Linked DNA regions of Rattus norvegicus. The protein of the gene in region 1 interacts with the protein of each later gene in a pairwise test. Links are inferred from orthologs where the notes say so. Each region holds a gene or a part of one and is shown on either strand. Other genes may lie near its edges.

Region 1 (3,514 bases):
GACTGAAATGAAGCTAGTCTGAGGAAAAGAACAAACACAGAAGCAGAGGGAAGGGACACAAACTGACAAGCAACCAGGCAGGGTTCTGGGAAAAGAGCAGTTCTGACAGGATCAAACGAAATGCTTGTTCAGTACTATATGCCGCCTCCTCTCATGAATCTGGCTGAAAACCGGGAGGATGAGAGGAGGGGCAGTCCATGGAGGTCACTTCAGTTCCTCCCTCACACTGCAAAGCAGGGAGCCAGGAGGCCACTGCTGAAGCCCTAATGTCTGCACCTCGAAATGGGACTGGGTGAGCTGGAGGGAAGGATTGAGAAAGGCCATAAAGTGAAAATGAGTTTATTCTGTGGACTTTAACACGATGTAACTGCTATCTTTACAGAAGGAAGAGGGAGGACAAAGATGACTTCCTGAAAACCCAAGGAGAGCACAGTTGTCCCCAGCTACAAGCCAAGGAGCTGGATTTTAACACCTGTCCTACAAAGCTCTGAGAAGGTAAATTCCACTGTCTAAGCTGCACAGTCTGAGGAACTTTCTCAGAATGCTAACTAATACATACTTCCTATATCTTATCATATCAAGACTGGATTTTGGATTTAGTACCCCAGCAATGCTAAGGGTTTATCTACAGAGCTATGGCCAAATCACATCAGAGGGGGAAAATGTAGTGTGTCAGAGAACCTTTCAAAGGTTAAAAAGAAACCACATAACACAAAGGGATTAAGGCGGCCCAGCCTCAGACTTCTGGGCAGGCCACAGATACAAACCCAGATCCTAAGAGGATCTTACCCAGCAGGGAACTAGGCGATAATCAGGATGCATCAACGCCAGCACCAGAGCCAGTCTCAGGGCAATCCGTGCTGGGGATGGCTATTCAGAACCTCTTCAGGACAACCAACCACATGGTATTTACAGTCCAGTGTGGTCATATACAGACACAGATCCAACTCTAAGAAAATCTCACTTCCCAAAATTCTTCAAAGCTACATCAAAGGCAACTGTTTGTAAACTTAGGAATTCCTTTCAATAAATAGATTACTATCTTGCTTTTTATGATCTAACTTTCTCTCCCAAAACTACATGCTGAAGTCTTAACCCGCAGTACTGTGGAATACACCAGGGCTTGAAATATTTACAGAGACAACTAAGTGAAAATGAGGTACGAGGCTGGTCCTCAATCTAATGTGACCAGTGTCTTACAGGAAGATGAAGAAGCGTGGGACACTGGTATGTACGGAAGGAAGCCCGGGGAAAGGATGGCCACCTACAGACCAGGAGGAGGCCTTGGGAGGAGCAAACCCTTAACCTTGGACCTGAGACTTATCAGAACAACCAGGAAATAAACTCAGGTTGTTGAAGCGACCCAGTCTGCATAAAATTCTCCCAAAAGCAAACTAATCCCAGGCTTGAAGAAAGTACAACAGAGTCCTGAACAATGGCGAAAGTATGTGCAGGGAATTATATGGCCAGAGGACCTGAGAAAATCAAAGCTCTCTGAAGATGGTGACATTCTGTGTTGGATGTAGACAGAAGGCACGGAGACTGATGGAGGGAGGGTCTCTTACGCTCTTCACAGCTGCTCATGCTAGAGCTCTTGAGAGTCTGAATCTCCTGGGAGAGCATGGAGAGCCGGTCTGACTGTGTGGGGGTCTCATCGTCTTCTAGGTCTGGTGACTCCTGCATCATTTCTTCAATTTCTTCAATAACCTTCCAAAACATGTATAATGCGTTAATCAAATAAATTCATGGAGAAAAGACCTGACTGTGCCACAGTGCTTACTGGACTACCCAGGTAGAGGGACATTAAGTGCCTACTATGTGCAGGACGCACATGTAAAAGTGAACACAGCTTATGGAATCTACAATATATGAACACAGAATTAAATAGAATATGATCTGGTGTGTCTGCTGCGATTCAGCAGACACTAGTACATCTTGATGTCTAATGTGCCATGAGTTACCGAGACACGGATCACAGTGACGGCTGAAAGATGGTAAAATGGGGAAATGTTCTCTACACCTCACAAGTGTGCTCAACACCAATATAATCTACAGTAACCAAAACTTTGACATAAAACTTACAAATATACATAGAAATAATCACAGATAAAGCAGGAAGTTAGCTCTCTAACTGCCAAAGAATTTCATTTATTAACTCAGTGAAGGACAAAGGGGTATTTTTTAAATTACCCAAACCAGAATCAGACAGGAAAAAGCTTCGAGAAGAAGGGCGACTCCAGGCACACACCTGGCTTTAATTACACCATGACCTACTGTCATACTGGGTATGACCCAAGCTGCACAGCAGTGCCTTGTCTGATTCCAGATTCTGAGAGAGAAAAAGGAAGTAGACCCTAGAAGAGAAAGCTACTCACTACTTAAAGGGGGGCTGGAAAGACATTTAAACATTAACGAACACTGTAAAATACAATTCAGTGGTGACACAGAACACCGCGAGTGCATCTGAAAGCACCTAGGCATTAGTGAATGTATCGGAGCTCTTCAGCTGGGTAAAAGCCACCCCAAGAGGGCCGGTGCCCATACAGAGCCGTGGACAGTACGTGAGGCGTTCCAGGGGGCTAGAGCACGAGATTCTGTGAGTCTTAAAAACAGAAAGGACGTGGCACCCGGCAGATTTCTTGGGGACCGAGACTGCTCAGGGTCACACACAGCTCTTTCTGAACTGTCATGCCTTCCATAGATAGCATTACCTTTCTTGTTAGCACCACAGTTGTCTAAGCCTAGAACAATCCAACCACAAACGTAATCAGGGAATCAGAAGGACATTCCTCCCGTGTACACGTACTCCTCTGACCTTCCCATAACATATCTCCTTACTGACCTTCCCTTCCCTGACTAAAAATAAAAGGTGACAGAATGCACAGCCTGCAGCCCACAGAGCCACTGTGGGCTCACTCTGACAGCAGGGCAGAGGCGGGAGGAGTACTCAGACAAAGACAGAGCTGACTCAACTGATCTCAAGCGAAGATAAGGCTGATATTACTGCAGCACCCCACAGGTATAAGGCTGATATTACTACAGCACCCCACAGGTATAAGGCTGATATTACTGCAGCACCCCACAGGTATAAGGCTGATATTACTGCAGCACCCCACAGGTATAAGGCTGATATTACTGCAGCACCCCACAGGTATAAGGCTGATATTACTGCAGCACCCCACAGGTATAAGGCTGATATTACTACAGCACCCACAGGTATAAGGCTGATATTACTGCAGCACCCACAGGTATAATGTTGGCTTCTTTCCACAGAAGAGAACAGACACTTCTCTTATTTGTTAAAATTCTTACCAAGGGCTCTACCAAAGCAAGCCTGGTGGGACCAAGCATGACAGCTCAAGCCTTTGATTTAAGCACTCAGGAGGCAGAGGCAGGTGGGTCTCTATAGCTCAAGAACACCTTAGTCTGCAAAGGGACTTCCAGGCCAGTCAGGGTATAGAAGGAGTCCTCGCCTCAAAACAAACAAAAAATACCAACTCAATATTCCAACTCA
Region 2 (4,035 bases), on another chromosome or scaffold:
GTACTAAGTGTGCACACGAAGTTCAGCAAAGGACACAGCAGCATAGCTTACAGAACCACATAAGGAAAGATGGTGCTGAGCTGCTCAGTAATCAAGTACCTGAAGCTAAATGCTGCACACGGGATTATATCATGTGGCATGTGCTAGCAAAGGGAGATGGAAATATAAATACTCAAAACAGGAAACACCTTAACTGCAATCTTGGGAAAATACGATACTACTTTTAAAGATTCAGAAACATTGTGAATCTTTTTACTAAGGACAGTCACAAAGAAGAGCAAAGGTACACAGAGAAACCTTTCAGAGGCAGAACAGCCAGGGTACAAATATGAAAGTGGCAGCTCAGTCTGAAAGGTACTGAGCATACTGAACAACTATAAGGCTAAGCCTGCTCCTGAGTGCACAGAAGCCTACTTTCTCCCGCTTTCTACCTCAGTTTACAGAGTCTCTGCCCTTCAAATAAAGTAAATTACTAAGTTTTTTTCAAAATTCTATTTTTAAGGTTATTCAAACTATTATAGTATTTAAAAATCACACTTGAAGAATTCGTCTAGTCAACCAAATGAAACAATGCAGGGTCATTTTTTGAAAGTAGTATTCCTCTCCATTTAAACAACGTTCAACTTTTAATTAACAAAGTTGTTTTATGTGCATATTTATATTTATATTTATGTGCATGTCTTTGTGCACATGTAGAGGCCATAAGTCAACCTTGGCTCTCTCAATCCTTCTCCACTGTTTTGTTTTATGTTTAAGACCTTGAACCTGGAATTCACCGGTTCAATCAGTGTTTGTGAGCAAGCTCCAGAGGTCTTACCTCCATCTCCCAAACACATGCGCACTGCCAAGCCTGTAATTTGTGGGTTCACTAAATGCAGCACACGTGTGCTCACACAACCTTACACAATTATTTTGTAACTTACCAGCCACCCTGGCTCTGAAAGAGGCATTATTCTCTGAGATCTCTATGTCAGCGCTTTAAAAGACTTTTCTTTGAAAATCACAAGAAGTCTCACTGCCTGTGTGTATCTAGCTTGTTAGTGAATGAGAACCTTTTATAACTTAAATCCAGAATGCAGAAAGGGTAGAAGAGATAGTAAGGCTTCAGGGATATGACAAATGCTAGTCCAGGTTTAATCTAAATTACCCTCACATGTTCACACTGTACCTTCTAAGACTCCTTCAGAAGACTCACAGTGATTTAAAAATCCTCACTCTCCATTAAGGCTCTGAAATTTGGTCACGTTTAAAAGTCTCAGCCTCAGTATCCTCATCCACAAAATGGAACTATTAACTGCATTTCACGGGTTTGTTCTGAGAATTTAATACATTCAATTATGTGTTTGCGTACTTAGTAAGTATTCAACAGATGTTAATGGACCTTTTCATCACCACTCACTTGTTTGGACCACAGAAGAAACTTTTAAAAAACCCATGTGGCTGAAGGCCTCATATTAGAACTCAGGCCTAATCTGAAAGCAGCTTAATTCACAGCACAGTATGCATCCAGAGTCAAGGGTACAGTCAATATCTAGTCTGTCTTTCTCATCATGGCACCTAGGCTTGCCTTAAACTCTCAGAAATGAGTTTGACATTTCCCTAATATCCATCCAAACTCAACCACCAGACATCTCTGAACCTGCAACTGATGTTTTCCACCTGTCACCCACTCATCAGAAACAGTTTTTAAAAATGGAAAGTCCAATGCACTAGTCATGCACTAAACACTTTACAGACACAGTTTTACCGAAACAGAAAGAAAATGCAATTCACAGATGTGGTACTAATTAGGCCTTATAAAGGCCAGACAGAGGCCTTGTCTCATGTTTCATACCCAAGACATAATTACGGTCCTGGGCTGGAGAGATGGCTCAGCCGTTAAAGGCTAGGCTCACAACCAAAAATATAATTACGGTCCTAACCTGAGTTGGAAAAACTCGACTCCCGTGGCGTTTCCACAAAGTAAACAAATATAAAATTTTATCTGCTTCGAGCTGCATCCACTCCATTGTGATCTGTTTCTATCCGTTCATGTTCTCCTTTGACATTTTGGAGGTTTCAAAACCGATGGAAATCGATTGACGAACTACATCGTCAATAAAGATTTCAAACTTAAGTTTAATCACTGGAGCACAGAGAAACTAGGATTCCTACGCACAGCTTTGAGTCTCAAAAATGAATAACGGTTTGGGGATCTCTGTCCTTACGGCTATTACGACACCAGTCTCTGATGGTGTAACAGAAATCTTGGTTTTCCAGAACCTATGATTCCTCCTTCCAAAACCTTACTCTTCAATATTTGTTCCGCAGGACGCTTGAGAAAAGCTGACAAAGAAACAAACCCAGGTTCTAGCAAAGACGTCCCACCCCAGACAGGCATAGGCCACCACGCCTGTAAACCAATCCTAGCACTCCAGAGGCTGAAGCAGGAGGATTGCGGCGAGCTGGAAGGTAGCTCAGACTGCAGAGCGTCGACTCCCACCACCAGGTCCCATCGCGCCCCGACGCCGTCCCTGTTCGGCAACGTCAGGCTCTTCCCACGGAGCCCAGGGCGTGTGGCCGGGAAGGCGGCTGCGCAGCGCTCGGCGGGGCGTCGGGCCTCGCGGCCCCGCGATCCAGTCAGCCGCCCGGGACCCGTTCCATCCCGCCCCGCCCCTCAGGGACTCGGAGGTCTCCCGGCCGGAGCCCTCGCCGGCCTGGGTCGCCTCACCTTGCGTTTGAGGCGCCGGGAAAAGGCGGGATAGGTAGGACGCCTCAGGCCGCGGCTCTCCGACCAACTGACAGCATCAGCCCCGCCCTTCCCGCCCACGGAGCGTGCGCCGAGCGAGGAGGCGGACTCCCACCAATCCTTACTCGAGATTGCACGCCTGCGCACTTGCTGCTGGACGCCGCGACTAGCCCTTGGCAGAGCACCGGGGTCCACCTTTGCCCTAACAAAAGGGCATTGACGCCCAATCAGGCGTGTTGGGCGTGTCCTAAAAAGGCAGCAACCAATCACGACGCAGAAGAGAAGACGCGCCAAAGAAAGAGGCTCTCGCTGCAGATCTTTTGTCTCGCCGGGATCCTGGAAAGTGAGGTTGGAAGTCACTTCACCTTTAAGAACGGAGTGAGCAGAGCAGTGTCATCGGCTGTCCCTCAATACTAAAAGCCCACCATCCCTATTTCTAAGATTAGAAAACGCACAAAGTGTATACCACTAATGGATGTTCCTCTCCGTACCCCATATTCTAGACAATTTTTTTAACTTACCGTTCACCCGACCACTTCATGATCCCTTAGAGCAACAGTCGCCTGATCTCAGGCGCAGAAAAACCAAGGCTTAATTAAAATTGTGTTTCTTACTCAAGTGTACATGTACAATGGGTTGCCAGATAGTTTTCGCGACACTTTATTATAACCTAACCTTTGAAACAAAAGTATCTTGCTGTTAGTGGTCAGTGACCACAGTATATCCCCACCTGCAAAGCACAGTATATTCCCACTTTCTGAGCTGCAGAGGCGAGCTTACAAATACTTTCTTCCTGGCTTTTCTTTTTTATATAAGATTTTATTTTTAATTGCATGAATATGTGGCGGCGTGTGTGCACGCGTGTGCAAGGTGCCTGAAGATGCTAGAAGAGGGAATCAGATCTCTGGAATTGGGGTTACAGAGGGTTGTGAACCACCTGATAAGGATGCTAAGACCCCCAACATAGCTTCCCGTGCAAGAGCAGTAAGTGCTGTTAACTGCTGAGCCATTTCTACAGCTCCCAGGTGTCTCTTCCCCCACTTAGTAGGACTTGCTAACCGTCACCGTAATCCTTTATAAATAAAGTATCTTCCATTTGGTGTTTGAGACGAATATATTTGGCTCACACTACTACTCGGGTTTGAGGGAAGAATACAATGAATACAAGAAGAGAGGGAAATCCCAGGTAACTCTAAGAGGAGTGCCAACAAAGTAACAGAGAGAATGAATAGGGGCAATAGTCAAAAAACTACGGCATTTTCCAAAGTAGTGAAGAACACACTTTCTTTTCAAATGCGAATGCGCTG

What was found. The genes of interacting proteins can lie anywhere in the genome.
Region 2: the proteins of Fez2 (region 1) and Scoc interact in binary tests that used the Homo sapiens proteins (3 or more experiments, as listed by UniProt). The link is inferred for Rattus norvegicus from reciprocal best matches to the Homo sapiens genes FEZ2 and SCOC.

Annotation. Positions count from the first base shown.
Region 1 is NC_086024.1:22,420,290-22,423,803, reverse strand, and holds part of Fez2 (fasciculation and elongation protein zeta-2), read right to left. Parts: intron 1,708-3,514; coding exon 1,566-1,707; intron 1-1,565. UniProt on the Homo sapiens protein: Involved in axonal outgrowth and fasciculation.
Region 2 is NC_086037.1:41,586,419-41,590,453, reverse strand, and holds the start of Scoc (short coiled-coil protein), read right to left. Parts: upstream 2,808-4,035; 5' UTR 2,711-2,807; intron 1-2,710. UniProt on the Homo sapiens protein: Positive regulator of amino acid starvation-induced autophagy.